Linked DNA regions of Tamandua tetradactyla. The protein of the gene in region 2 purifies or fractionates together with the protein of the main gene of each other region. This does not show direct contact. Links are inferred from orthologs where the notes say so. Each region holds a gene or a part of one and is shown on either strand. Other genes may lie near its edges.

Region 1 (8,104 bases), on a different chromosome or scaffold from region 2:
AAGGCTACACTCACACAGGAAGGTGTGCGGCTCAGCCCCAAACCAGAACCTCTGGCTGCGGGGTCTCTGTCTGGCTTGGCCAGGAGCCCCCTTGGTCTACGTGCCGTCCCTGACCACCGGTGCAGCGGAGGGCACCAGAGGGGACTCCCCAAATATAGTCTGTCTAAGGGAGTGCACTCATAGCCTAGAGTTGAGGTCACAGGGGCCCATCCTCCTTAAGAAGGATGAAACATTTGTCTGAAGCAAGGCTTCATCTCAAGACTCAGAACCAAGGAGGGGTACCTGACCAACATCACAAGATCACGGCCTCCATCTACCTGGTAGAGGTGGCTTGGGAAAGCTGCAGAGTTTTCAATCACTTACTTAGCAACATCTACTAAGTAAACATTTTCCTGGTACCAGTTACAGAGGCGAGGGGCCATAACCACCTGCATCTTTCCCTATAAAGTAGGGACAGCCAGCATACCTTGGAGAACTCTCACAGAGGAAGAACTCATCACAGTCCCCCAAGGTCACCAGGCTGGAAGACCCAGTTCCCTTCCTTCAGGCAACAAAGTATCAGATATTTGATAAGCAGCCAACAATCCTCCCATACAAATGTAAGAGAAGGTATTTATATGCAAGCACAGAGAAGAATGACTTCTTTCTTTCTGGCTTTTAACCAGCTTAGCCAGCAGAAAGACTAACTTTAAATTCTGAATTAAGAAGCAAATCCACAAAGGAAACATCTCTACCCACCTCCAAATACCTTTACAGAAAAACTACATTCACTTCTATTTTCTTTTAGCACGGGCAGGCTCTGGGAATCCAACTCCACAGCAGGTAAGAATTCTGTCATTGAGCCCACCGGTGCACCGCCCTACATCTATTTATTTATTTGTTTTTTTGCATGGGCTGGCACGGGGAATCAAACACGGATCTCTAGCATGGCAGGCGAGAACTCTGCCTGCTGAGCCAATGTGGCCCGCCCCCTACATTTACTTATAAGAGGGAATTTCTTTCACCTTATAAATATCTGGAATGAGGGCCCAGAATGTTACAGCTTAACTGAAACAGGTAACTCAAGTTACCTTCCTCAGAGAAGCCTTTCAGGACTCCCTCCTTCAGAGCCAACCCTCCTCTTCCTCAACATTTTGGGCTTGCTGCCAACACACTGGCTGTAGGCAGATATTCTCTCTGTCCTTCTCACAACAGGGATCTCTGGTTGTCTGGCGAAGACTATGGGCATCCGTTTGTGGCAGTAACATCTTCAAAGCACAATAAATATAATGCAGAGGCTCACAAGGGTAAGCAATTATACTGAGATAATCATCAAATCATTTAAGAAGTATTTTGGAGATACAGTAACACATGATCTCTAAAGCATTATATAACAAACTTGTACCTGTCTGATAATTACAGTAAATTTGAAGTAGGAATGAGAGTAAATGATATTTTGAAGATTTCCAACAACTATAAAATGATAATATCTGTAATTACTACTGGTGACAAAAATCACTGGTACTATTTATATGTCTTTGCTTTGCTGCTTATATTCATAACTGCAGAAAAGAATACCTTTATCTAGAGTTTAGTGAAAACAGAGCTGAAAAATTCATGGACTTCTTGAGTTCCACCCACCATTTCATAGAACCTTGGCCAAGAACCCAGGCAGTAGGAGAGGGAACTTCACAAAAGCAAACTCCCCATATATTTGCAATAAAGTTCAAAGCCCTTTAGTGGTAAATTCTGGTTTTCCAATGATAGGCCCATATTCTTCTCAGTCCTCACTTTACCACTCCCCACTTCCATGAATAAATGACTCCTAATCAAGTGCTCACATTAGTTGGGACCCCTTGGGGTTGCCAGCTTTTATCAGCTGGCATACACCCCTGCACAGCAGTAATGCTTATTTACCAGCTGTATTCCCTTTAACTAACGGCAAAGTCCCAAAGGCAGAGTTTGCACTGTGTCCCTAGTACCAAAAACAGTGCCTGGAATGAAACTGTGTATAATAGGTGCTCAACAAATGTGTACTGAATGCAAAGCACAGCTTCCAGGTACTGAGCTAGGTATGCCCTGAGGATACCAAGATAACCAGATAATCTTAAGTACCGGCACTTTAGAAAATTCAGGGAGGGCTATTTGATCATTCTTGGAACACTTTCCTGTCTCATTATAGAAAGAGAAAATCAAGAGGTACCTTGATGCTGAGTAACAAACAGCATTATATGGGAGACGGGGAGGATCTGGGCAGGTGAGAATTACACACAGACACCAGCAAACTGCAGGACGGAGGAGGCAGGAAGGCCCCTCCACTGAACAGGAGACTTCAGACACACTGCCTCAAAGCACACCCCCAAATCGTCATCTCAGAAGTCTCAGGGAGGATGGGACGGGGTTCCCCACTCTGTCAGAAAGCCCAGAGAAGGAATTTCCCGCCCCACTCGACTCAAATCAGATGGCTGTCAAGGCATCAAAAGGACAGTCTGGGAAGTTTGGGGAAAATGCTTTTTTCAAAGCATAAATGAGGCAAAAAGGGAATGCACTATGTAGAAACGACACCGACTTTTATATAGTTTTGCATAAACTTCTTTAAATTGAGGGTGAGTGGGTGTTTTTAAATATAGGTAAAAAATAGGTTATTAAAAAAATCCCCACAAGCCAGTAGTCACCACCAATGTAGGTCAAAAACCTTCCAGCACAAGGCAGATCAAAATCAGACTAGCGTCAAAAGATGCTGCACGCCTTTCCCCCCAAGGAGAGTGATGATAAAATAACAAGAACTCCTCTAACACCCCCAAAAAAGAATTAAAGCTGCTCCTTATTGTTATCTTTTTTTTTTTTTCATGGGCAGGCACCAGGAATCGAATCCGGGTCTTCGGCATGGCAGGCGACAACCCTGCCACTGAGCCACCGTGGCCCGCCCTGCTCCTTTTTAAAATGCAAAAAACACCAGTTACAGATCCTATTTTCCGAGTTTTTTCTGCAGAGCCTTCCGGGGGGGGGGCCCACGGGCAGGCCACCGAGTGCACAGTGACTGCAGCGGCGACCGCGGCCCAGCTGGAGGGGTCCAAGCGGTCGGGCCCACCCGGCCCATTCCGAGAGCCCCCGCCCTCCTTCCCCCCCAAGCCCTTCCCTAAATCTCACAAGGCGGGGCCGCTGCAGGGGCCGCTGCGGAGGTCGCGCGCGGGGAGCCTGAGGCAGCCCTGGTCCCCGCTCGGCACAAAGCGGCCCGCGCCACCCAGTGAGCAACCGAGGCCTCCGGGCCCTTCCCGCACCTGCACCATTATGGCCATCCGGAGCGAATCCTTGGGGATACTTTCGCCGCATTTCTTGCAGGAGGCGCGCCCGCTCTTGGCGTACTCGACTCGGTAAAGCTTGTCCGAGGCCTCCGCCATCCTCCTCCCTGGGCCGCCGCAGCGCCTCGGGACCGCAAGACCACAGGGGCCTCCTCCTCGCCCGCCACGCGGACGACAGCCCCCCCAGCTCCTGCAGGCGTCGGAATGCGCCGCTCCGGGATAGATTGCTCACGCCTGGCCACGGGACCGCCCTTGGCGCCCGCGCGCCCGCCCACCAGCCCCTGCTGGCGTCCGAGCGCGCCGCTCCGGGATAGATTGTTGATGCCTGGCCGCGGGAACGCCCCCGGCGCCCGCGCGCCCGCCCACCATCTCCAACAGGCGTCCGAGGGCGCTGCTCCGGGATAGATTGCTGACGCCTGGCCGCGGGAACGCCCCCAGCGCGTGTGCCCGCGGCCGGCCTCGAGGGCGGGCCCTTCTCGGCGAAGGGTTTACGGGCTTTGGGGGCTCTGGCGGCCGTTTAGTCTCCCTCTGAAGGGTAAATTGCTACCCCTTTAACCGTTTAGTTGCTAGGCAGGCGTAGTTGCTGTTGCACCGCTATTTAAACTCCCCAGCCATCTTTCTGCGTTCCCGCTCTTTTCGGAGAGCCGCCTGCTCGGGAACGCGGCTCACCTGCCGAGGGCTGGCCAGTGAGCTGCGAGGTTGACCCTCCCTGGCCCGTGGGACTCACTTGGAGTCCGCAGACCGCTGGAACAGGGTCCTAACTGAAACTTAGCGTTTCCTCTACTATGAATTTTGAAGCATGAATACAAATCCTAGGAATATTAGCAGAATCCGTGATTTGACTCACCAATAGTCACCACAAATACTTCGTATCACTTTACAGTTCGAGATAAATCAAAATATTATTAAGCTCAGAATATTATTGCCGTGGTTATTAGGCCGGCTAGCTCTAGATCTTCTTATTTAATGTAGGACTATATTTTTACCTAGCGACCAAATTAAAAAGACGTGCATTGTGCTTCTGGGTCGACAGCAAGGCTGTCCCTAAATGGTCACCCAGTAGCGTTCTCTTCCTTTTCTGGCTCCCACGAGCTCTGCTCAAGAAATACACATAATACCTATGTCTGTTCAGCAAGCTAAATGCAGTGTTACACCTGTGACCAGACACCCTCAGCTCTGGTGATTGGAACCCCACCATCAGCCCGGGCAGGCTGACATGGGAGGGAGGGAAAGAGAAAGTGTATGGTCCTTCTGCCTAGCCTGTACCGAATCTCATCTGTGTTATGCACCCCATCTGGTCCCCTTTGATTTAAACTGTTTTAAACTGATTTAATAAACAGTAATTCAAGCATTTTAATTTAACTGTGGGGTTTCTGTTTTGTGACTCCTGGGATAGCGTGCCTGATCGTATGTCTGGAGGCTACCATTACATTAAGGTGATTCCCTACCCACAGTTGATTCTGAGAAGAAGTTAGTAGCCTTCACTGGACCTCCAAAATGTCCTGAGTGTGCACACATGCAAACAAGGTTAAGAATCTGTGCCCTAGTGCACTTTTCCAACACTTTGCTGCCTCCTTTACTGCCTGTTCTAGTTTGCTAGCTGCCGGAATGCAACACGCCAGAGACGGATTGGCTTTTAATAAAAGGGGATTTATTTTGTTGGTTCTTCAGAGGAAAGGCAGCTAACTTTCCACTGAGGTTCTTTCTTACGTGGAAGGCACAGGATGGTCTCTGCTGGTCTTCTCTCCAGGCCCCTGGGTTCCAACAACTTTGCCCAGGGTGATTTCTTTCTCCATCCCCAAGGGCCTGAGCTGAGCTGCAAGTGCTGAGATGAGGAATGCCAAGCTGCTAGACTGTGCTACATTGCGTTCTCTCATTTAAGCACAAGCCAATTAAGTTAAACGTCACTCATTGCAGCAGACACGCCTCCTAGCCGACTGCGGATGTAATTAGCAACAGATGAGATTCACCTACAATTGGCTCATGTCCACAGCAACAGAACTAGGTGCTTTCACCTGGCCAAGTTGACAACTGAATCTAACTACCACACTGCCTCTCAAGTTAAAAATTTTTTTGGTACTTATATCTCTATCAAGAGTAGGAAAACCAAAAGCAGGTGGAGAGGATAGCAGTATGTGTCTTACGCCTGGGCTTCTTCCCTTCTTTCCTTTATCAGCCTGGTACCCTAGGCGATTTGAATTTGCCAATCCTGGCCTAAAGCTTAAAAGACTAAATTCCTTGTGATGGCTTATGTGCTGGTTTGAAAGGATGTGTGCCCCCTAGAAAAGCCATGTTTTAATCAAAATCCCATTTCATCAAAGTAGAGTAATCCCTGTTCAATACTGTATGTTTGAAACTGTGATTGGATCATCTCCCCGGATGATGTGATTTAGTCAAGAGTGGTTGTTAAACTGGATTAGGTGACGACATGTCTCCACCCATTTGGGTGGGTCTTGATTGGTTTACTAGAGTCCTATAAAAGAGGAAACATTTTGGAGAAAAAGATTCCAGATGAGAGAGAAACTCTGACTGTGCTCGCCATGTACCTTTCCACTTGAGAAAGAAACCCTGAACTTCATTGGCCTTCCTGACCAAGGTATCTTTCCCTGGGTACCTTAGATTGGACATTTCTATGGACTTGTTTTAATTGGGACATTTTCTCGGCCTTAGAACTGTAAACCAGCAACTTATTAAATTCCCCTTTTTGAAAGCCATTCTGATTCTGGTATATTGCATTCCAGCAGCTAGCAAACCAGAACAGCTTATAACTCCCCTCAGTATCCTTTCCACCCTCATCTCTCAGCACTCCAGTCACACCAAATTACTTTCCATTCACATGAACTCTTCCACATCTCCTTAACTTTGCACATGTTTTTTCTGTCTTGATAAAATACCTGTTCCCTTTCCCTTCACTTGGCAGCTCTGATTTGTCTCTCAAGATCTGGTTCACCTGCCACTATCTACCCCGCCGCCCCTCCCAGCAGAGCTGTCTCCCTCCTCCTTGGTCCTGCCAAGGCTGCTGTTGGGACATCTGCTCTGGAGTTCCTCCCACCAACCTGTAGCAGCGTGCCAGGCGGTGAGCACATGAGAGCAGAAACTACCTGCTGATCTCTACATCCTCTACATCTAGTTCCTGCTGATAGTACACATTTAGTATTAATATTTGAATGAATACTCTTCAAATTAAATCTACAAAATGAAAGAACCAAACTTGAACCTAGGTCCTATGTTTCCAATTCCAGGCTTCTATGGGACAGGAGCTTTGATTATATTGGTGCACATGCCTGCTTCAGTGTTTATCTAATCCTCTCCTCCCTCCACCTCCCCTTCCCACCCATCCCCTCCCCTTTCCCTTTCCCTCTTTTTTCCTTTTGGGACAGAATCAGTCAGAGCACTCTGAGCTCACTAGCAACATTTATGTTTTAAATTACATCCTTTTCACGCACTGTTTTCATTTTCAAATAAGAAAATGGAAATATGGAGAGATTAAATGATCTCTCCCAGTGTTAAAGTCTCTCAGTATTAGAGGCAAGATGAGAGGCTGAGCCTCTGCCTTTTTCCCCCTCAGTTTCCAGAGCCTCCCCTTAAATCACGCTCTCCAGCCTTCTTGTCCTCAGAGCTGAGCCCCGTGGCTGCTTTGCCCCTTCCTAGTACTTGAGCTGGTTGTGCGGGGGTCTGATCCTGAGGAGGGTTAAGCCCTTCCTTGACTAAGGCGGGATGGTTCAACCTTTCTTCTTGTGCCAGCTCAACGCCTGGCATTTAGTTGGTCGCTGGTAAAAGTTTTATTAAGTCCCTGTTTTCCAACCATCCTGAATTTTTTCTGAATTTCTTAGGAGTCTATTGCTCTCAGTTTTTGTCCAGCTCAAAAGAAACTCCAGTTTCTGATGAGGTGTGACGTGGGGGCTGAGCAGGAGCCTTGAAATGTGTGCCCATGACTATCACATTCTCTTGGCACCTCCCAAGGCACCTCACAGAATCCCAGAGCTCAAACCCTGTTGTTGGTGGTGTGTGTGTGTGCAGGGATGTGTGTGTGTGTGTGTGTGTGTGTGTGTGTGTGTGTGTGAGAGAGAGAGAGAGAGGCAGAGACAGGGCCGAGACACTGCACTCAAAGGTACTTATTGTGATTTTCCTCTTATAAAACTAAACAAACAAACGAAAACAAGCCAAAAAAATCAAACAGCACAGGCATAAATAGAATAAAGAGTGAAAACCTTCCTTCCCCAACCCCTCCCCATCCCCAAACCCCAGAGGGGATCAGTGTTTATAATTTGTCCTATATCCAGTCGGATTCTTTCACTAAACATTATACACACATACAGACTTTGAGATCACATTATGTACATATTGCCCTCTAAGAAGTTTGTTCCTTAATATCCCAGAGTTATCTATTACTGTCAGAATGTAGAGGACATTTCATTCCTTTTTAAAAACGCATGCAATTTCATAATGTGGCTGTGCTATATGTTTTTATTTGCTTGTAGGGATGATAATGTTATTTACTTTTGTTTTATCTACATTGAGTTTTCGTATTTCACATGGGATACACAAATAGATCCTTTTTTTGTAAAAGCTTGAGACTTGGTTGTCCAACATAGGAGCCACTAGTTACATGCGGCTACTGAGCACGTGAAGTGTGATAGTTTGAATGAGATGTGCTGTACATTTACAGTGCACACTGGACTTCAAAGATGGAGTATAGAAAAAAGAATGTAAAAATCTCATAATTTGTTTATATGACCCCAATTTGAAATGATAATATTTTGAATATATTGGCTTACATACAGTGAATAATTAAAATGAATTTCACCTATTTTTTTAAATGT
Region 2 (7,923 bases):
ATAAAAAATTTAAAAAAAGAAAAGAAAGAACTGGAGGTGCTGGGGAGGTAATAAGAGTGGGGAGCTGGGATAGGAATCCAGGGACTAACCTCTGACCTCCAGTCTTCAGGGTAGGCGAGGACATGGGGAGCAGGGCAGGGGGCAGTTAGGGCCAGGAGATTGTTGCTAAAAAGCGCCTTGGAAGCCATTTGGTCCCAGCCACTCCATCTGCAGTGGTGAGCCGGTGTCCACATCTCTCCCCAGCTCTGTACATTTCGGTGATGTCAAGTTGGTAGCTTGAAATCAGCCACAGTGAAAGAATTTACACCAAGGAAATCGGCAAATGCGACACCCCAGGGCTTTTTTTGCTTTGGCCTTCAGTAAACGTTCGCAGGCACACCGCTGCCCTACGCTCTTCTGTCCCTACTTTACAGAAGAGGAAACTAAGGTCTGAAGACATGGAGTGACCTGTTCAGGGTCACATGGCAGTTTTCTTCATTCAATCAATCATTTGCTTAGCAATTTTGAGGGCCTCCTCTGTGCGGGGCACTGGAGAACACATCCCCTGTACTGGGGGAGCGTGCAGTCTGGTGTACATGCAGACGACCTAAACAAGCTCAGGCAGCTCTGTGGGCTAAGCACAAACACAAAGGAAAGTACTGGGGCCCACAGCAGACTCGGGGAGCTCTGAGGCCCATCAGTGTGGTCAGAAAGGCCTCCTGGGGGACATGACTCCTAAACTCACATCTGGAGGATGAGTGGGAGATAGCCAAGATGAGTTGGGGAGAGAAGATTCAAGGCAGAGGGAATAATGTGTGCGAAGGCCTGGGTTCTGCAGAGGGCCTGCCAGCCCCAGGGGATCCCCGTATCCTTTTTTGCACACTCAAAGTCCTACTGTGCCTGAGTGGTGACTGAGGGGAGGGGTTTACAGACTTAGAAATTCCCTCTGAGCCATCAATCAAAAACTCATGACAGTGACACGGCACCATTACTGAGTTCCTGCTGTGTATGAAGGCCCCAGACCAGGGGCTAGAGAGGGCACAGTATCCACCAAGCACCATGCAGACAGCACCCACTTGGAGATCAGGTGAGGGTAAGGGTAAAAGCTGGGTGTGGAGGGTGGGGGATGTGGAAAAGCAGAGGGAGGAGGTGAATATTTAGCAGGGGAGGCGGGTGGAGGGAACATAAGGATAAGCAGGCTCAGCTTCCAAACAACAAACATCTATTGAGCACCTACTGTGTGCCAGGCTCTGTGCCAGGTGCTGGGAATACAGTGGACCAGCTCCAGTCCCTGTCCTCAGGGAGCTCCCAGTATACTAGGAGAAACAGAAATGTAAAAGGCACTTACAATATAGTGTGATGAAAGGCGAGTGACACCCAAAAAGGACCACGGGGGATCTCCCAGGGAAAGTGACATCTAAGTTAAGTCCTGCAAGATGACCAAGCTTCAGGTAGGTGAAAAGTGAGGGAAGAGCAGATGGAAGGGAAAACACAGGAAAAGGCTGGATAATGAGAACACGGTGTGTTCAAAGACCTGAAAGAAGGTCCCTGTGGCCGGAGAAGAGGATTGGGGGCAGGGGCGGTGTCAGCGGCAGAGAGGAGGTGAGAAATGAGGCTGGACCGGCTGGAATTTTGTTTTGAATCTAATGGCAATAGGAGCTGTTGTAGGGCTTTAGGTAGGAGACTGCAGGGTTTTAGGTGGGGATTGGAGGGTGCTGCAGGAAGGGGCAAGAGTGCAGGCAGGGAGACCAGTTAGAGGCTACTGCAGGTAAGAGACGATGGTGGCTGCAGCACAGCGGTAGCGGTGGAGGTGGGAAGTCGGTGGTCTGGGGGAGTATTCTGAGCTGTAGCTGTGAGTACGTGGTGGACTGGATGGGAGGGAGGCAGGGCAAAGGGACGGATCATAGATGGTGCCAGATTTCTGACGTGAGCAACCAGGTGGACAGTGGTGTCATTTACCAGAAGCTGGGGGCACTGGCAGGGGAGTGGGTTTGGGCTGCTGGGGGCAGAGTCAAGACTTAAAAACTCAGAGTTCCTGGCTCTTCGGCCAGCACCACCTTCTTCCCTGTTAGGGCTACCGGGAAAAGGTATAGAGAATGTGGGATAAAGGAAGGGGGACGTGGGGATGGGGTAGAGCAAGAGGAAAAGGAAATTAAAAAAAGTAACATTGGCTAACCCAGGCCCAGACATCATGCTGTGTGCCCTATATGTCCACTTCGGTTCTTACCACATCACCAGCCGAAATGACCCACCTCTAACTTTCCTGCCCTATATCCTGCTTCGCTCTTCTCACCAGTGGAGATCATTACTAGGAATTACATTATTTACTTGTTTACTAGCTGCCTCTCCCCTCCCACAGAATATCAACCCTTTGTTCTTGTTCTCTGGTGGATCCCCAGTGCCTAAGGATATCTGACATGGTAGGTGTTCAATGTAAACTTGCTGAATGAAAAGTTAAAATCCTTAGTGGGTAGATACTATTAACAGTGGCCCAGGTCACAGCTAATAAGTAGGGAGGTTGGGACTCAAATGACCATTTTCTTAGCCCCTGGGCTAAGAAGGGACACAGGAGGGCAGCTGGAGGGGACTCAGGATAGCCAAGGGAGCTGGTCAAACCCATGGGGATGCCCAGGTCTCAGCCACATGGGTTGTCTCCTGAATCAGAAACAAACCGGTAGCCTTTGTTTGGTCCCCCGACTGTGGGATGCCCTACCGGAAGCATAGAACGTGGGAGAAACCAGGGATGGTACCTGAGCAGGGAGGGCAGGGCACCAGGGCCCTAGTGTCAGAGCCCGGACAGGAGCCAGTGGTTGGCCAGTAGCGCCACCTGGCGGCAAACACGTGTCTCCTCCATCTGTCCCCTGCTCCCCAGGCAAGCTGACACGCCACCCCACCGGGAATCCTCCCTGAGTACCTCGGGTGCTGGACCTCCAGACATTCTTCTCATTCTCTCCCTTTGAATGAATCTCACTCATTCTTCAAGGACTCCTTCAAATCTGCTTCCTCCAGGAAGTCTCCCCAAGCTTCTCCCAGCTCCAGTGATCACTCCCTTCTTGGTGGAATGTTAAGCAAAGACAGCATCTCCAGCCTCCCGGAGCTGTGATGAGAATTAGATAAGATCAGGTCTGTAAGGGCCAAGGAGAAAGAGTGGCACCAAACAGACACTCAGGAAACAGCGGTCCTTTTCCACTCCTTTCTCTGACTTCCTCTTCCCTTTCCTGAAAAGGAAGCCTGATCAAACAGAAGACACAAGGAAGTCACAGGGCCTGAGCTCTCTAGGCCTCAATCTCCTCTGTAAAATGAAGCCATTAGATAACTGATGAAGCCATTCATTCACTCATTCATTCAACTTCTATTCCAGCTCTGATATTCCATATAGGGATTATGTCTTTTATACCCATCAGTTCATCTGTGAACCCCTTAAAAGCAGTGACAGGCTGTGTCTTATTCAATATCCCCTGATGACACTTAGCACAGTGCCTGGCACAGGGAGGGTACTAGAAAAATCCCTCCTCAACAACCTACCAAGGTATGTTTACTACTTCCCCTTCCCTGCCCCCAGAGGGCAACCAGCCCCGACTGGCACCAGGTACCTCCCCTTCCCTCGCTCAGCCAGAAACCAGAGCTGGCGCCACTGGGTGAGGAATCTGGGGACCAACTGTCACAGCTCCAGTATCACCTGCCTCCTGGACGCCTGGGTCCAGCGCTGAGTCCCAGAGGGGCCCTGTTAACCAGCTGTCCTGGGGGACCCAGGCTCCACTCCAGCCCCTCTAAGCTACTGTCCCTGGGGAAATCAGACCGTGCAGGGGATCTGTAGGGGGAGGGCTGAGGTGGCCCCAGGGAAGGAGGAGGTGTGTTTGTCCAGGTTCAAACCTCAAACTGGGTCCTCGAGGCCCTTGGAGATCAAGTCCACAGTGACAGAAGGAGCCACGGTGACCGACTCTTCCCTCTAATCCCCAGTCCCACAGACCATTTCTGCCCCCACTTTTAATCCTGTTTGTCCATGTTTTCTGAGTTATGTAGGCTACTTTCTGTGGCTCATGGAAGGCAGGGATCAAGATCTTTTATGTAGTCTACAGAATTTTGCCCAATATATTCTTACATTCTCATTGATTATTAATTATTTAATGAGTTGAGCATGGTCCAGTAACGGAGAGGAAACTGGCTCTCAGCAGGAAGGATGATGGTTAGATAGCAGGGTGGACTTCCCACAAAGGAGAGATATTAAGAAAAGAAAAATGGGAACCCCATAAGGCATAGAAGAAGAGGCTCAGCTAAGTAAGATGGGGAAGAAGGCATCCCGGTAGGAATAGGGAGATGAATGAGATGACCCCTTTAAGGACCTGTCTGCTTGGTAGGGCAGCCTTGGTGGTGGCTTCGTGTGCCTCCCTCTCTCCCCAGGGACTCTGAGCATAGGATGGGAGAGCGGCAGGCGTTAGGTGTGTGCCCCCATCCCGGGTACTTGGTGTCTGGACAGTGACAACTGGTGCATGGTTTCCTCCAAGAGAATGGACGCAACTCCACATAGAGACACCCCTCCCCCACGTCTGGGTCATACACACCACACCTGTCTTCCAGGCTCCACGTGAAACCTGCACCACTCCACTCGCAACTTTTGAGAGTTTATGCCCTGCAACCAGGCTATCACACACCCAGACACACACTTGTACAGACACAATGCACACTCAGGCTACTCATCTGAGTCCTTTGTTCCCCAGACCTGAGACAGGAGCCTGGCCTGTGTGTGTGTGTGTGTGTGTGTGTGTTTGTGTGTATGCGTGTGTGTCTGTGAGTGTTAGAGAGACAGAGACACAGTTTGCATTCCAGTACTCCATAGAAATTATTTTTGGAATTATCTGCTGTTTGGGATGATCTTATTTTGGCAAGTCTAGACCTAGAACTGACTTCAAGTAACTCATAGTGGGTGAGCATCTCTTCCAGTGTCTGGCACATATTAGGAGCTCAATAGGAATTGGTTGACCGACTGAATGACTGAATGAATGAATGTATGCAACTTAACTAACAGGGACCACAACTCGGCTAAAATCAACTTCGAGGTAAGAACAACCAGGCAAGGAAACTAACACTGACTGAACGCCTAGGATGAGCCAGGCAGTGTGCTAGGGACTGGGCTTATTATTTCCATTTGGAGGTGAGGAAATTGAGGCTGAGCATTAAATGACTGCTCAAGAACCAGAAGCCTCCTCCCCCTCACACCTGAGACTTCACACATGCAATTACACTCAATCTATCCTTTTGGAGTCTCTGCTCTAGTCGGGGCTGTGTGCTGGGCACTGGGGAGCCAGAATAGGGGGACAATGACAAAGACGAGAGACACAGTCTTCCCCTCCAAGGTCCTGGAAGGGGGAGATACGGCACCTTCACACCTTTCTAGTCATAAGGAAAGCCGTTTCCAAGCAAATTGTTTAAGTAAGGCTTTCTACCCTCATCAGCATAACTATAGATTGGGCAAGCAGGAGTAGGAAGACAAAGGAGTACCCATGGACAGGAACCCAGTGTGGGCGCACAAATGTGTTGTTTGGAGAGAACGAGGTCTGGTGAACAAAGGAGGCCATCAGCCCCAGGGAGCATGGGAGGGACCCCTCAAAGTTCCACCCTGCGAGCCCCACTCGTAAAGGTGTCCACTCACGGGCTCCCCTATGGTCTGGGCACTGTGGTACTCCCTGCTGTGCACAACCCCCCAAATACACACATATACAATCTGCAGGCACACACGTGATCCCAAGCACAGACTCCCATGTGTGCACATCCATGCCACCTACTTAAGTGCCCTCACACACGCACACCTGCCCTCCAGGGTGCCAGGTCCACGTCTACCTCTCTCCTGCAATGAAGGATGTTTGTCTGGAGTCACATTGGGACTCTGAGGGTGGACACGTGGTGCCTGGACACACCCAAGGGGCTGAGTCATCCTTGCTGTTGGATCAGTAATGTGGGTCCAGGAGGGACCCCCGCCTCCATCACCCAGCCCCTCAGCCCTTCCCTATTCCCATTCAGCAGCTGTCCCCACCTCACTCACACACACTTGTTTCTGTCCTTTGTTTTCCTCGCTGGGCAAATCCCCAAGGCTTCTTTGGTCATTAACCTCCTGCTTTAATTAGCTTAGCAGGGAGGAAAGTGGAGGCAGGGCAAACTCAGGGTGGGGGTCTGGAGTGGGAGACTCCTTTCGGTGGGGACAAGAAGGCTCAAATCAGCTGGTGGCCCCATAAAGACACCTGGTACAACTCTGCTATTTCTATTAGTGTGAAAAACAGTCACCTGGGCCTCAGAGTGGGAACTTTTCCTAGTGAAAGCCCCAAATCCCCAGTACCGCAGTTCCCCCAATCCAGGTCCCTGGGACAGACAGAGAGGGGACAAACTTCAGGAAGAGCCCACTCCCCGAGTTCCTGTCGCTACAAATCCTCCTCTACCACTGTCACCCAGTGGGGTGGCATCCGTTGTTGTTCATCTTGTCAATAATCTTATGTTAAATCCCTGAGCTGGGGGCACACCTCCCCAACCCGGGGGATAAGGATTAATTTAGGGAACTCTGCTGTGCAGCTCAGCTCTCAAGGCCTCCTACTGCCAGATCTATGAGGTCATCTCATTCATTCCCCTGCCTCCAAACAGGGCTTTACTTCACAAACCCGTTCAGATTTTCGGTTTCCAAGACACTCCAGAAAAGGACACCTCACCACTGTAGCTCATCCACCCGCTCTTATACTCCTCTTTTGGGAAGTCCTTCTTAAAGTCTGACTTCAGACCGTCAAGCTGCAGTACAAACTCTTTTCTTGGGAAAGACGTAGGCATAAAAAGGGTGACAAAAGAAATGCCGAAGATATGAGGTAGAAGGAGAAAAGACTGCATTATGTTCCAACTTCCTCAAACTATCTCTAAAAGTACGCAATCACCCAGTTTAAGCTTTAAAAACTTATTTTCACTTTCACCAGATTTCCAGAGTCAAAGGGGCTGAATTACTGGAGAGAGATGCATGAAGAAAAGTGGAATGACAGAAACGGCTAAAGGACTGAGCACTCCCAAGCTGTATTCGTGGCCCAGGATGAAGGAAGCCTGGGTCCCCAGTCCACCCCCAGCCTCTCCTCCTTCCGTGGCACCCAAAGCTCAAGCCCCTCACCCAAAACTGTTAAGCCCTGCCATGCCTGCGTCCCCCTTCTCCCCTCTCTCTCACCCCCTTCGTCCTCCTCACTCCATTGCGCCACGGCCCTCCTGACCCTCTTCCACCCACCAGAGGGCCGAGAAAGAACTCACCTACCTCCAAGTCGATGCCTCCGAGACTGGAGACGGGGTGGGGGGTGGGGGTGGCTCGCCGCTTGGGGACGAGAGGATCGTGTCCTTTGCCAGGGGGGTCCAGCCCTCCAGCCCGGCACCCCATTTTGGCCCGCACCGCGCGCAGAGCCGGGTCCCCCGCACCCACCCCCAGCCCGTCATCGCGGCTGCGGGCTTTGTCTGCTCGGCCGAGAGCCGCTCCCCGCGCCCGGGAGCCGGGATCGACCCCGGGAGAGCGCGAGGGGCGGGGAGCGGAGGGAGCGCGCGGCCCGGAGGCCGGGAGTGGGGGGTGGGGGCGCCGCAGCGACCCAGCCCGGACCGCTCCCCGCCCCTCCCCCCTCATTACCATAAAAAAGAGGGACCCAGGACCTGCGGGGCTGGGGAAGGAGACCGCACGGCGGAGGGCGGGCGCTGCATTAACCTTTTACAGACCCTCAACGCCTCCGTACCCTGCCCCCTCTCCCCGCGCCGGCCTCTTGAAAAAAATTAGGGACCTCGTCTCCCGTCCCACCCGCCCCAGCTTTGGCTCCGCGCCGCGGGTGAAGACCGAAGGGCACGTCCCTATCCTCCTCGGGTCAAGGAATCCGCCACGCGCCCCCCGAGGGCGGGAAACTACAATTCCCAGCATGCCCCGGGCGCCCCCGGCGCGCCCCCCTC
Region 3 (8,433 bases), on a different chromosome or scaffold from region 2:
ATATTATGTAATATCGGATATATACAAAAGGATGAAACATGTAAATTACCAAACAAAATGCAGTGGACATCTGTGAACCCACCACCAAATCTAAGAACTGAAGCATTACCAATATTCCTGAATCTAATTTTGGGCTCTTCCCCTATCTCAGGTTCCCCCTATACCCCAATTCAACCAAAATTACTATCCTGAATTGTCATTATCTTTTGCTTTTGTTTTTATTAATCACATATGTATAACCCTTAACAGTATATCATATTTTATTCAGTCTTCTGAAAATATCTCCCTCCCATCACTGGGTTTCTAAAATTCATCTGTGTTTTTGCATGCAACTGTGTTTCATTTTTCCTGTCATAATATTCCACTGTGTGACTATATTATAATTTATCCCTTTTTGTTTTGGTCTCTTCCCCCCCGCCCCGTTTTTTCCTATTACAAACCTAGTAGGAAGCTGTTGAGCACTTAGTGGTAGATAGAAAGAGTTTCTAAATTATAATTTTCACTTGAAAGCTCAAATGTTATTGATAACTGACACTTCATATACTTTTGAGAAAATGTAATGCAATGTAAAATGACTTACATTCATTCATGACAAAACTCTGTAATTTAGTGTACAATTTAATCCCACAAGTGATTTTCCTCCAGACATACTTTCAAGGGTTGACTCTGTACTGTTTCATCAAGGACATTCTTAAGTGAACCTGTGTTTGTTTTTTTAAAGAGTGAGTGATGAGGGTTGATGAATGTGTGCAAATATCAACACAGGGAAAATAGAAACCTGGACTGTAGTCTACAACAGTCTGCAGATCACACTTTGAAAAGCACTGCTCTAAGGTACAAATATAAGAATGAAGTGCTGGGTTGGTAAATGGTGAACTTGACCAGATAGTTTCAAGTTGCCTTCCACTGTTACCCATTTACACTAGCTTAGCAATACATCATTTCCACTGATACATATTCTGACCAATACTTGGAATTATCAGACTTTAGTCAACCTACCGGCTGTAATAAGGATTTCACTGAGATACTGATTTTCCCAGATTGCTAATGAGGTTAAATTTCATGTTTATTGGCCATGTATGTTTTACTTTCTGTGAAAAAAATGCCTGTTTCTATATTCTGAATATTTTTTTTCTGAATAGGCGGTCCCTTTCTCATCACTTTATAGTCCTTTAGTATTCTACTTATTAATCATTTGTTGGTTATTTGTGTTACAGGATCTTCTAACACTCTATGGCTTGTCTTTTCACTTTTTTTATGGCGTCCTTTAGCAAAAAAGTTCTTAATTTTAAGGTTAATATATCTTTTCTTTTAGTTAAGATATATTATAGATACATATATTATAGATATATAACTATGTATGTATGTATGCAGGTTCTGTTTAATAAATCCTTTCAGTCACAAGGTCAGAAAGATACCCTCCTCATGACCTCTAGAAATTTTTTTTTAATTTTCTATTTTTATTGTTATAAATGAAATGCCATAAATTTGCCATTTTTACCATTTTTAAGGGCATGATTCAGTGGCATTACATTTACAGTGTTCTGTGACTATCACCAACATCCATCACCTAAAACAGAAACTCTGTGCTTATTAAGCTATAACTCCCCATCCCCCCCAAGTCCCTAGTAACCTTTCATCTACTTTGTCCCTATGAATTTGCTTATTCTAGATATTTCATAGGAGGAATCATGTAATATTTATCTTTGTGTCTAGCTTATTTTACTTAACATGTTTTCAAGGTTTATACATATTGTCGCATTTACCTGAACTTCATTCCTTTTATGGCTGAATAATATTCCGTTGTATGTATATACCACATTTTGTTTATCCATTCATCTGTTAATGGACACTTGCAAAGATTCCATCTTTTCTCTATGGTGAATAATGTTGCTATGAATACTGGTGTACAAATAACTGTTTGAGTCCTTGCTTCAAACATTTTGGGATATATACCTAGAAATGGGATTACTGGGTTATATGATAATTCTATGCTCAACTTCCTGAGGATTTGAAAGAGTGCTGCACCATTCAATAATTCTGCCAGTAAAGCACAAGTGTTCCTATTTCTCTGCATCTTCACTAACACCTATTTTCTGTTTTGTTTTTTTTTTTGTTATTTAATAATGGCCATTCTAGTGGATATGAAATGGTATCTCACTGTGGGTTTGATTTGCATTTTGCTAAAGATGATTCTTAAAGGCTCCCAAGGTTGAGTATCATGGGCAGACTGAAAGGGGATTAAAAGTTGGGAAGAAGTGTGGCTGGATATATAGTGCAGCCTCCAGAGAAGCTTAAGTGAAGTCTATCAGCCTTCCACCTGCTTAATGCATTCAGGCCTGGCTCTACCACATTTCATCAAATAATAATAAGGGAAGCTCTCAGGCCTGTAAGACCTGCTTTTATTCTCTGCTTGTGTGACCTATGGCCTTGGTCTATTATAAAGATTTTGTTTGTGGCACTGCTCAAACAGCTCTCTTCACCTTCGTCTCTTCTCTACCCAATAACTATCCTCACCCAGTCCACCTTCACTCCTTCTAATCACTGGATCTGAGATCTGAAAAGCCTTATATTTTGAGAGGCAGGCCACAGAGGAAACAGAACTTCCGAGTCTGATGGATTTAGGTATAATTTTGGCTTTGCAACTTACAGTGATTTCAACATTTTTGCAACGTACCTCCAATTAAATATGACTTGGAATCCCAATATTAATTTTAAAATGTAAAGTAAAGTGGCTTTTGTGTTGGAAGTGTGCGTAGATGGGACTGAAGCCTTACAAACTTGGCTTTTCCCTTATTAACAACTCTTATCCTCTACATTTCTAACCTTAAACAATAACTAAATTTATTGCAAAAGGGATGTAAAAGTTTTATAGGAACACAGAAAGAGAAACTTACTCTGTGCCCTTTTTCTGGAGAGTTAGTGGTAATTGTGATGACAGAGTTTAAAAGAAAATCTTCCAAAGATAAAATGTGGACTGAGTTTTCAAGCAGGAGTTCAACGTGGAGGTGGGAAGCAAGGGCAGAAAGAATAGAACAAGAATGAATGCACATAAATGGGGCAGGGGTAAGTAATCTATGAGAGAATTTGATTTAAGAAAAATGAAAATGGAGGTTGAGATGGAGAGCTTAACCCTGGAGTCAGGGATAGAGAACAGATCAAACTTCAGGGAAGGTTCCTCTGGGCTTTCTGGAAAGCATTCTAGGGACTCAGTAGCAGCAGTAGGCTCTTAGAATGTGCAAGTGTCACATTTTTACTTACTGCAGAAAGTTCTAGGAGATGGCAATAGCCTGCCTTTGGGGTCCCTGATTATCCCTGGGCCTGAAGGCTCACAGGTACAGGGCAGATTTCTAAAAGAAGCACTGTGGACTGCTGTTCCCCATTACCTGATAAATGATTTTTCATGACTCTGAGCCTTGGCTTTCCCCCAAGGGTTGTCCCTCCTTCAAGCAGCACTGACAGTGAAGCTTGAAGGGGAAACCAGCTACTGTGTTTCTTTAGTTACCATGGTAACAAGAAACTATCACAAATATTTGTTTATGACTTCACTGGAGAAGTCAGACAGGGGAGATCAGATTGGAAGGAGAAAGGAACACAAGCACATCTACAATCAGCAACCAAAGGAAGGCTGGCTTGCTCTCAGGGACCCAGCAGACAAAGGGGCTTTTTCCATCAATCACTTTCTTACCTACTGGAGCTGGGTCAAGAAAACACACAATAACATAATAAATAACCTTTACTACATCTAACTGCCTCAGACTGATTTTTTTCTTCAGTCAATGAACTCTCTCAAAGTGAACAGGTCCCTCAAGTTATATCTCTATTTCTAGGAAATAAATATGTAACGATATCATGCATTTTCTAAGTTTTTAGAATGGAGGACCAGTCATAATTATACAAAACAGGTTTGGGTGCTAACTGATAGATGAAGAAACAGGCTCAGGTCACACACTAACTGGATAACTGCAGGGCTATAATCACTGGTATGTTTAAAATTTTGAGATTCATAAAATTTTTAAATTATGCCCAATTTCACAGAAATAGGCATACTACATATAGCCAGCTATCCTGTGTGTGGGATGTGAACAATGTCATAACACCTTCAAGTGCACAAATGTGTGCTTAAAGCACCCTGGACAGCTTAGCTGCTGGCTCCAGGATTTTTCAAACCGAAGTCTAATGTACCTGGTCTATATTTCAGAAAGTTTCCAAGTGATGGACTCTATGTGCATGAATATATTTCAATAAAAAAATATATATATATTTTTTACATGGGCAGGCACCGGGAATCGAACCCGGGTCCTCTGGCATGGCAGGCAAGCGTTCTTGCCTGCTGAGCCACAGTGGCCCGCCCTAAAAATAATTTTTTAAAAGTTCAAAAAAAAAAAAAGTTACCAAGTAATCAACTGAAAGCATCTACCTAGAAGAGCCCCCAAAAGCTAAACACAGAGTTAGTGGAACCAGCATTCATTTTCTAGCTAATGACATGACAGTCTTCAAAGGAGAAGATGGTCCCTTAAACATCATAAAGTTATCAACCTTTTCAAATTATGATTCTTGTCCTGCTGCTAAAGCTGAGCTGGCTGTCCTCTTTGCAAAGGAAGACTTTCTGATGAAACATTATTGCCACTGCCCTGGCACAGAGAATGAGCTAAGACTTTAAATCTGGCAGGCTAACTCTTGGGCATATGCTATATTTAGGAAGTTTTATAGCTCATCATGATGCATTAAGGTTATTTAATAGTACTGGGAGGACAGATTAAGGATATAAACTGATATCTCCCAACATCTGGGAGATATCTTCCTTCAAGAGTATAAGTATGAAAAAACCTGCCTCCTCCCAGGGGGAAATGGCTTTTTCAGCTGGCCCCTTCTTTAATTTTTCACCAGGAATTCTCAAGTAGAAAAATCATCAAAAGATTCTCAGTTAAAATGCTAAGACCCTTTGCCAGTTAACTAAAATGAAAGGGATAAGAGTGCCCTAAGGGATGATGGCAGAATAGGGAGGTCAGGATTCAGTTCACCCTCCAGGGAAGCTAGCAAATAGCCAGGAACTGACTGAAACAACTGCTTGCGGGGCTCTGGAGACCCGAAGAACACCGTACACTATCCAGCAAAGAGCAGAAGGAAGAGACTGATAAACTGTGGTAAAAAGCTGTGAGTAGATCTCTCTATGTTGCAGAGGCTGGGATCTACCCACCACTGGCACAAAGGGCTACCTTAGGGAGCCACTCCCTGGCTGGAAATAGAAGCCCTCTATCCCATGAATGCGAGAGGGAGGGAAGGACAGGGCCAGGCAATGTCTGCAGCTTTTGATTAGTGAATTCAGAACACTCAATTCTTACCCAGAACAGAAAGGGGTGGGGGGAGCGGGGAACAGGCACTGACTCCAGCTTTTGATTAGTGAATTCAAAGTGAATTCTAGCTCCTGAGAAAATACAGCTACAGGTTTGTTTGTTTTTTTAATATCAAAAATATATTTACTTCAATATGTCTAAAATATTATTGTTTTAATATGTGATCAATTTAAAAATTATTCTTTTCTTTTTGGTACTAAGTCTTCATAATTCATTGTGTATTTTACACCTATATACATCTCAATTTAGACTAGTCACAGTTCAAGTGCTCAATTGCCATATCTGACTTGTGGCTACTATACTGGACAGAACAGGTCCAGAGTTACTTTACTTGCACCCTCCTTCTCATCCAATCTGTCACTCCCATCAGGTGCAGAGACAGTGTCAGGGACTTGAGGGGTGGGCCAGAAAAGTTCAGGGGCCTTACTGTTGTCATGAAGCCTTCATGAGCCTACCAGGAAAAATAAAATTACTATTTTTCTGAACCATCCTCATCTATTCCAGTATCCCTCTTTTTGTACCTCCTGGAATCAAGCAAAAGTGCTCTCAAACAACTTGGCTCATACTTGATTATAGCCTCTAGTCTACTGTGCCTTACAGTCAGTTTGTTTTAAACTCCCCACCTAGATTACAAGTGTTTTAATGGCAGGTCCAACACCTTGTCATTTCTCCTTGTAAGTGTGCCAACATTAGGATTCTGCTTAGGAGGTGTCAACTGAGCCTTTTCCTTCTCCACAATACTCTTACCATGCTCCCTTCTTCATCCAAGATTTCAGTATCTCTTTCCTTGACTAATACAGCATTCTCCAAAGTAGTAAAACTGCTTCTCATCTTCTTCTCTTCCCATCTTTTACTCACTGATGCTGAATTAATAACAGCTACAGTTTTAACCTGCCCAGGGCAGAAATCAACTGGCAGCCTCCATTTCAACCCCACTCCAAGCAGGGGAGGAAGTGGGACTGGTTGAGACACAGTAGCTTCTCTGGTCAGTTGGGGACAGGTTTCTAAAGGGCAGCTCTTCCCCAAGAAAAGGGGAGAAGTGGGCAAGGGCCAGGGCAGTTAGCAGCAGTAAGAGACTTCAGCTTCCAGGGCCTGGGATCTGGGCAACAGTTTCCAACCCTCCCTGGCCAAAGCCCAAAGAGGCTGGCAACTTCTGTTTCAACCACACCCCCAGCAGAGGCAATCGGCTGAGAATTAAAGGCACAGTACCATTTTAGGACTATGGGGAACAGGTGGCTGAAGAGTGCCAGCTGCTGGGCACACCAGGGAAGTACATATCAGAAAGATATAGAGTAGACTGACATCCTTCTGGGTCTTCCCCGCACACCCCCAGAGTACTTTGGAACTATCTACACCACTTCTGTGGGTCCTGGGCCTGTTTTGACAGAGAAAAACGGACAGGGACCCTCCTCCCAGAAAAAGCCCTCCTGGTAAAAGCAACTAGAAATAATGAAAACAGTGTTAAAAACATATAAAGGCAAATAAAAAAACATATGAGGCAAATAAAAAACAAACAGAGGGCAGGCCACAATGGCTCAATAGGAGAGTTCTTGCCTGCCATGCTGGAGACCCGGGTTTGATGCCTGGTGCCTGCCCATGCAAACAACAACAAAAACAGAATAGATCAACATTCCCAGAGGAGAACAAGGGAAAGGAAGCTTTCTCCCGGGAGTGAAACAGTTGCACAAATATTACAATCTCAAAAATTATACCATATATCCAGAGTAAGAATCAGATGAATAAGAGCTGAAAAAATCTGATCAAACACAAACTATTCTAAAGGTCTATAACAAGTTGAACCAGTATCAAAGAAGAGCTATAGCACAAAGACAACAAGAAAATCCTTGGCAGGAGAGAGAGAAACTGATCTTCAGAATATACTCATCAAGTGAATCAGTTGCCTAAGCACCAGCAAAAAATTACAAACCATACTATGAAACAGGAAAATATGGCCCAGTCAAAAGAACAAACTAAAACTTCAGATGAGATACAGGAATTGAAACAACTAATTAATGACATTCAAACAAATCTCCTATATCAATTCAAGGAGATGGAGAAAAATATGGCAAAAGAGATAAAGGATATAAAGACAATGCTAGGTGAGGATAAAAAGAATTTGAAAACATGCAAAAAAAAAAAAAAAAACCCACAAAACAAGCAAGCAAAAAATCCCAGTACATATGGGAATGAAAGGCACAATAGAAGAGGTAAAAAATACACTGGAGGCAAACAATAGCAGATGTAAAGAAGCAGAAGCAATTATCAGTGAACTAGAGGATAAGACATCCACAATTTTACAGACAAAAGATAAGAAAGGGGAAAAAATGGAAAAAATAGAGACAGGTCTCAAGGAATTGAATGAACAGCACAAAACACACAAACATATGTGTCATGAGTATCCCAGAAGGAGAACAGAGGAAAAAGCGGGCAAAAAGAATATCTGAGGAAATCCTGGTAGAAAAATTCCAACTTTTATGAAAGAAATTAACATATAGGTCTAAGAAGCGCAATGTATTCTAAATATAATAAATCCGAATAAACCTACTCCAAGTCACTAATCAGAATGCCAAATGCCTAAGAAAGAGAAAATTCTGAAAGCAGCAAGAAAAAAGCAATCCATCACATGCAAGGGATCTTCAATAAGACTAAATACCAGTTTATCATCAGAAACTATGGAGGCAAAAAAAACAGTAGTATGATATATTTAAGGTACTGAGAGAGAAAAACTGCCAGCCAATAACTTTTTATCCAGCAAATAATGTCCTTCAAAAATGAGGGAGAGTTTAAAACAGTCACAGATAAACAAAAATTGAGAGAGAATGTTAATGAGAGACCTGCCCTACAATAAGTACTAAAGGAAGTGCTACAGGATGAAAGGAAAAGGCAGGAGAGGTTTGGAAGAAAAGTGTAGAAATGAAGGCTATCAATAAGGGTAACTAAAAGGGTAAAAAAAAAAAAAGACAAAAATAAGATATGACATATAAAACCCAAAGGATAAAATGGTTGAAGAAAGTACTGCCTTTACAATGAATGTTGGTGGATTAACCTCCACAATCAAAAGACAGAGACAGGCAGA
Region 4 (6,703 bases), on a different chromosome or scaffold from region 2:
AACTGCCCGGTCTATTCCACGAGGAGCCCAGCTGGCTGCTGAGAACCTGGGCATCAGCCTGGCCAACTTGTTGCTGAACAAAGGGGCCAAGAGCATCTTGGATGTTGCACGGCAACTTAACGATGCCCACTAACAGGTCTGTGGGGCACAGGTACCTGGGTTGCCACAGTGCCCCACTCTTGATGCTGACTGAGGTGATTATACCCCAGGATCATGGACTTCCAGGGGCCTGCCTCGCCTTGGTGACTTTGCCTGGCCTCCTCAGTAGGTGGGGGCTGCATCTCTTTAGAGAAAGGTCATAGCCTTTGAATGTAACTAATTCTACTAATAAAGCAGTTCTGAAGATTGTTTTCTTTCTGCTCTTTCCCAGTGGGGTAGTTAAAATAAGTAAATAGCAAACACAAAACCCTTTACTCCTTATTTCAGAGGCCAGGCCACTACCCAAAGTAATCCTGGAACAACCTTTCGACTTCAGTAGCTCTCATTTCAAACAGAAGGAATTCTCTCCCAAGAAACACAGAACTGTAATCCAAAAATACTGTGGCTTGCTCCTTCTCTAGTTAATGAACTCCCTTATTTAGGTAATCCCCCACTATACACACTCTAAAATCAATCCTACAACTCTTGCAAAATGAAGAGACTCCTCATTAAAAAAGAAACATTTAATAAAATTAGTCCATCTGAAATTTCCCAATAACTAAGGTACTAGTCTTGGATGGGTTATCTGCAAAATTCCAGTTCAGAAGCCAACAGAGGCTCAGTCCAGACAGGGATGAACTGACTTGTGCTGGTTATCTAGGAGGTGCTTGCATTGCTGAATTGAGTTGCTGGAAGGGAAATAAAGGTGGAGAGGGTAGACCCCACAGGCCTGGCCACCAGTCGGTTTCAGGCACCTACACAGAACTGTCCACACAGTCAGCTGTGACTCCCAGCTGGAGGCCTCTGCCCCTCCCCCAAGCTTCTTTCCGAGAGGCAGTCATCTCTGGCGAAACATTCGTATCACAGCCCAGGCGGTAGCAGACAAGCCTATGAATAAAGATGGAGGAATAGATGGGAAAGCCCGTGACTTGGCAGCAAAAGGGCACCCAAGCAAATTAAGTGACCAGTCCCTCTCCCGTCAAAGCCTGGAAATCAACAGTCACGTCTGAAAAGTCCTGGGCTAAGCACCAAGCTGGAAAGGTAACAGACGACCACTCTGCCGCGGCGGTGAGGGCCTCTGCCGGCCGCTCTCTGCACCAACTCACCTTGAGGGCCGCAGGGCCGTCCGACCCCTGGGCATGGGCTGCACCCTCAGCCGCCTGGCAGCAGCAATTGCAGGGCGGGAGGCCGGTCTCCTCGGAGGGGATCCCGTCTCACCGCCACCCCGCGGCTCAATTGATAGGAGCGGATGGGTAACTAGCTCTGGAGCAGGGGCCGCGCCCCCACGCCAAGGCCACTGGAGAGACCGAAAGCGGTGTGGGAGCAGAGCTGCGCCGGCAGGCCAGGTGCTTCTACCACAGAGGACAGCCTGTCTTTCCAACCTCCCCGTAGGTGAAATAGAAACGCAGGCCTGCAAGGCCCGCGGCTGCAGAGGCCGGAAGCAAACGCGCGGCGAGGAGAGGCCGGGGGGTGTGGGGGTGAAGGGCCGGGGATGAAGGTTACGGCTCGGGGGCCGCCGCTCAGCTCTTTCCGTGAGGGCTGTGGTGGCCCTTAAAAGGGCCTTTGTGGTGGCATGGGGAGGGCCGGGGGCGGCCCGACTCCGGCGGGGCCTCCCTCAGTACTCCTGAGAGGCCTGCGTGGCCTTCTTGCCGCCCGCAGGCGCCTTAGGCCCAACGGTGGCGCTTGTCTTCTTGGGCAGCAGGACGGCCTGAATGTTGGGCAGGACGCCTCCCTGGGCGATCGTCACGCCACCCAGCAGCTTGTTGAGCTCCTCGTCGTTGCGGATGGCGAGTTGCAGGTGGCGAGGGATGATCCGCGTCTTCTTGTTGTCGCGGGCCGCGTTGCCCGCCAGCTCTAGGATCTCAGCGGTCAGGTACTCGAGCACCGCGGCCAGGTACACCGGAGCGCCGGCGCCCACACGCTCCGCGTAGTGACCCTTCCGCAGCAGCCGATGAACGCGGCCCACAGGAAACTGGAGGCCCGCGCGCGATGAACGCGACTTGGCCTTAGCGCGGGCCTTACCGCCGGTCTTGCCGCGCCCCGACATGCCGCGCGAGGTAGGATAAGCAAAGACGAAAAAGCTTCTCAACACTGAAAATCACAGCAGCCAGCCGCAGTCCAACTGCCGTCGCACGCGCCGTGGGGCCACTTTTATAGCCCCTAGGACACACCCCCGCACCTTCCTGATTGGCTCTCTTCTCTAATACCTGCCTCCGATTGGCTACTGTTAACCCTTTGATGACGCTTCTCGAAGGAGGAAGAGCGCCTGCCGATTGGTCGAATTTGAAAACCCTTAGCCCGGGGGAAAAGGCGAGGAGGAGAGGCGCACCGCAGACGCCCAACCTCCCCAGATGTAGCCAATCCATGTGAAGCGCGCGCGATTTAAACGCTACAGTGGGAGACCAGACCGGAAGACAAAGTGGGTGGAGTTTAAAACCGCCTAAAAAGCCTCTGGGAAATCCGGGCTGGCCTAGGATTTTTAAAGAAATGGAGTGAACACTAAGACCACCGCTGCTTACCCTTCCAGGTCTGGTTACTTCTCATTCTGTCCTCCTATCGGGCAAAGGGCGAATGAAAAAGGGAAGAAATGAGTCACCTAAAAGTATGAACCTATGCCTGAAATTAGATAACTCCAATCTTCTGGTCCTCAACGCCACCCAAAATATCATTATTTCAATATTTATTCAACATGGGCTATCTGTTCTCAATTCTTTCTGTTCACTTCTTGGTAGAAGGGGTCCGGTGTAATGAAAAGGATGGAGCAGAGAAATAGGTATCCTTTTGGGGATGCCCTCACTAACCCTTCCATCCTACCCTAAAATGCCCATACAGGAAAAATACCTTCAGGAACAATAAAAAGACATCACTTTATTGTCAACATTGGGAGCACCTGGCTCCTGGTCTGCTCTTACTAATCAGAACACTTAATTTGTAGTCAAATGTCAAGTCACCTTCAGGTCTGTGTCTCTGTCCCCAGCCCAGGTTCTATCCCAAGGCCTGGCATTTTCCTTGGCTGTCAGGACTCTGAGAGTTGAGTTGTGGATAACTGCATAAAAGCTGCCATATCCTACCTCAGGGCAGAAACAGGATGAAGAGGAAGAGAATGGCAAGTTGAAGAAAGCCATAGGCAAAGCCCAACCAATAGTCGTTAAGAGGGCATCATCAGGGACGGGAAAAGCTGAGAACAAATTCTGGAAGAATGAAGTGTGGGAGAGGCCTGCACTGGGAGACAGTCTTGGTTCAGAAAAAGCTCAGCCTGAGTCGGGAACCCTGGAGATTTCGAGGTAGAGAGCAATGATCAGGGGACTCAGACATCATAGAAGAGTCGGACAAGCTGGTACCGAATGGAGAAGGTGACAACACTGCCCAGGATCTGTAAGAAGAAAAGGATTCAAGTGAGAACCACAGAGAAAGTGAGACAAGAAGGAGGTGGAGACCCCATCCTCAACCTCACCTGCAGCAGCAGCAAGAGCAATGTGAGGTTTCGCTCATACATGGGTCCAAAGATTTTGAGCAGCAAATTGATGAGGGTCATGTTGTTGCACTCGGTGAAGGCACCATCCTCATTCTCATTCTGCCGCACTGTCAATAGCCGGAGGCTCTCTGCTACCTGGAGGGGCCAGAGGTGGAGAGAACTGCAGCTAAAACCTATGCTTCAGGAATGTGGATCTACCTACTGCTTCCACATTCCCTTTGATCTAAGGCAGCCCCAGGGTTCCCATGCCCCGAGTTCAGGATGGCTGCCTAAGGCCTTACCTCCTTGTCACTCTGTTACCTTTAGAATAAAGGTGCCCAAGAAAGAGAGGCTCTTGGTCTTGAACTTGGAATAGCTCATCTCCAGTTTGCCTGTTTTGGTATTGAGTCTGTGGGGTGGGGTGGGGTGAGAAGAGAGCTTTATGTGACTGTGACATTACTTAAAGAACTCTCCTCCCAGTGGTTAATCAATAGGAAGAGAAGTGACTGTGGAATTAAACAATATGAGATCTATTTCTGGCTCTGCTGCTTACTACTGTGTGATCAGAGCTACTCTGAATTTTAAATGAGTTTATGTAAGTAAATTGCTTTGTAGATTACAAAAGGGCTACCCACATGGAAAGAGTTAGCCCTTCTTTGGGCACACTCACTCTCTTTGCAAGCAAATGTATAGGCTGGCTTTAGACATCCCAAGTGAAAAGATTTTGATGTCCCTTCAATGGCTACCCTTTTCTACCCTGGTACCCAAGGCGGCTACCTGGGTATACGGTGGCGAGGGCAGGGGATGATGTGCAGGAGCTGAGGCAGTGAGTAGAGGAAGTTGAACACCTGGGGCATGAAGAACAGTAGCATGGTCTTGCTGAAGTGTCCCAAGATGCCCACCACGGCAAAGGTCATGCCAGCAAAGTAACAGAAGGTATCTCCCACAAACACCTGTGATGGGTACCTGTGGGGGGTGGGGGTATCTAAGCCAATGGCAAGAAGCATTACCAACCCTTTCTCTCACCTCTCACACTGGCCAGTAGGTAATCCTGACCCTAGTTTTGACTCAGGAGACTCCAGTTCTTCCAGCAACTTTGTAGCACACAGAGACCTGAATTCATCAATACCTGAGGGTTCTTGCCCCAAATATTGCAGGGCAGAGAGCAGTTTCCGAATTCTAACAATTGAGGACCCAGAAGATACTCAACACGGGTTTAGCCTCTCCATCAAGAGGTGGGCCATGATCAGGACCACACATTCACACAGTTCTCTCCCTTAGCCTACTTACCAGTTATGGTAGAGCAGTCCCAGGGTGGTGAAAAAAAAAGGTATCATGAAGTAGAGGGAAAAGACATGATCATCCCGACAGTCACCTTTGGGAGCAAAGAAAAAAGGAAGAGGGGGAAAGTTAATAGCTACTTGGTTCTATTTCTGTCTGTCCAACCTATCTCTAAGTTCTGTTCCAAGCAGCATCAACCTCTCCCAAATCACATTCAAGTACTCACTAACCCTCTCATGTCACCCTAGCAATTCTGGATATACCACCCCTTTCACAGAGCCTTCCTAAACTAATTACTGTTTTAAATTTGGTTTAGGACTTTCAGACCTGGGTTTGAATATGAGCCTTCTTTCCTTGCTGTGTGGCCTTGATCATGATACATTCAACTTCTCTAAGCCTGTTTCCTCATCTCTAAAATGGAGGTGATAACACCTGCTCCATAGAGTTTTTATGAGGTTTAAATGAGATGTTTGAAAAGTGCTTTAAATAAAATTTTTTTAAAAAATGATAATAAAGAAAACACAAAATGAAAAGTGGTTAACTTTAATAAGCGCTTGTTGATACCCAATGCCCAAAGACCACCAGAAGCACATCTATAGTCAAAGTTGGGTTGTTAACTTGTTGCAGCAGGAAGACTGTGGAAATCCATGCTGTAAAGGGAATGACACAGCACCTCAGTAAGAGGGTGTCAGGAGAGCTTGTTAAAGGATTTGTTTTGGGTAATTTGGGGAAGGATGCAAAGAAGCAGAGTTTTTCTCTGAACTGAGAGCTATCAGAAAGCAGGAATAATTCTATGGGTGAGCATCTTAATAGTTTTTATCTAAGAAGTAGGAGGAACTGCACTATTATTGGAAAGAAGCTGCAGTCACTCACGTTAGCCAGGAGAGGAGGATGTTTGGTCATTTTTGTGGTTTGCACAGTGTTCCTGTGGTTCTGCCTGTTCTCAGATATGATTATAGAGGGGTCTGGTCTTTGTCTTGCATCAGTACAATCACAATGTGAGCTTGTCTGATTTGGGGGTTCTATGAAATTGTTTATGTTCAACAGAAGAATACCACGGCCTAACTATTAGTATCAATGCAGTGACAGATGACAGGGCTGCTATTTCTCTTACAATCAATATTAGTTATTATTTGCAAAGCAAATAGCTTCTTTTTTCTTCTATAATTAATCACATATTGCTTCTGAGTTACCCAAAGTCATATATCAGGCAACTCACCAAACACTCAGACTTCTTTCTCATTCTTCTGCCAAGCCACCTACCTCCCAGCTCTACCAGGTTGAAGACAATGATGGAAGCAGAAATGACTAGTGACTGGCCAGCCTCTAGCCCATTGATTCCTGCCAGAATATTGATGGCATTGGTACAGAACACTGCCAGCAGCCCCATGTAGACATAGTACAGAATGCCTGGTAGAAAAGACAGTATGAAAAGAACTAGTGCCACCTATGGAAAGTGGATTGAAGAATATTCTTCTGAGGGGCATGGTAAGGAGAGTGGACAAGATGAGGGACAGAAGGCAGAAGAAGACACAGGAGTGGAACAGGAACACTGGAGAAGAATGCAGGGCATCAGGAAGGGTGTTCTGATAGATATCTGATATATCAGGAAGGGTATTCTGCTGGATATCTGCTGACCTGAAGTAAGGGCCAGAGGGGCACTAAGTGGCAGGGCTACTCACCTAAGTCCAGATGCAGGCCAAGAATTGGACGGAAGGGTTTGGGTACCACAATGGTTGTGTTGCCAAAGTTGGTGAAATAGACCATGAGTAGTGGTAATGAGGCAGCTGTGGGCAGCAGCAGCTTATGGCGCCAGCGCAAATTCAGTAC

What was found.
Region 1: the proteins of LMNA (region 2) and PARP1 purify together in Homo sapiens (affinity purification with western blotting; 3 studies listed by BioGRID, with this or other methods). This does not show direct contact. The link is inferred for Tamandua tetradactyla from reciprocal best matches to the Homo sapiens genes LMNA and PARP1.
Region 3: the proteins of LMNA (region 2) and KPNA6 purify together in Homo sapiens (affinity purification with mass spectrometry; 4 studies listed by BioGRID and IntAct, with this or other methods). This does not show direct contact. The link is inferred for Tamandua tetradactyla from reciprocal best matches to the Homo sapiens genes LMNA and KPNA6.
Region 4: the proteins of LMNA (region 2) and H2AX purify together in Homo sapiens (affinity purification with mass spectrometry; 3 studies listed by BioGRID and IntAct, with this or other methods). This does not show direct contact. The link is inferred for Tamandua tetradactyla from reciprocal best matches to the Homo sapiens genes LMNA and H2AX.

What each region holds. Positions count from the first base shown.
Region 1 is NC_135333.1:20,186,896-20,194,999, reverse strand, and holds the start of PARP1 (poly [ADP-ribose] polymerase 1), read right to left. Parts: upstream 3,510-8,104; 5' UTR 3,381-3,509; coding exon 3,261-3,380; intron 1-3,260. UniProt on the Homo sapiens protein: Poly-ADP-ribosyltransferase that mediates poly-ADP-ribosylation of proteins and plays a key role in DNA repair.
Region 2 is NC_135330.1:9,116,679-9,124,601, reverse strand, and holds the start of LMNA (lamin), read right to left. Parts: upstream 3,053-7,923; 5' UTR 2,894-3,052; intron 1-2,893.
Region 3 is NC_135328.1:193,717,785-193,726,217, forward strand, and holds the start of KPNA6 (importin subunit alpha-7), read right to left. Parts: upstream 3,481-8,433; 5' UTR 3,406-3,480; coding exon of another isoform or gene 3,387-3,405; intron 2,978-3,386; exon of another isoform or gene 2,898-2,977; intron 1-2,897. UniProt on the Homo sapiens protein: Functions in nuclear protein import as an adapter protein for nuclear receptor KPNB1. Binds specifically and directly to substrates containing either a simple or bipartite NLS motif.
Region 4 is NC_135334.1:21,661,665-21,668,367, reverse strand, and holds H2AX (histone H2AX), read right to left. Parts: upstream 2,282-6,703; 5' UTR 2,186-2,281; coding exon 1,754-2,185; 3' UTR 1,245-1,753; intron 1,027-1,244; 3' UTR 648-1,026; downstream 1-647. Other genes in the region: HMBS (porphobilinogen deaminase), read left to right, coding at 1-133; DPAGT1 (UDP-N-acetylglucosamine--dolichyl-phosphate N-acetylglucosaminephosphotransferase), read right to left, coding at 3,446-3,511, 3,593-3,748, 3,914-4,001, 4,370-4,558, 4,883-4,967, 6,137-6,283, 6,556-6,703. UniProt on the Homo sapiens protein: Variant histone H2A which replaces conventional H2A in a subset of nucleosomes. Nucleosomes wrap and compact DNA into chromatin, limiting DNA accessibility to the cellular machineries which require DNA as a template.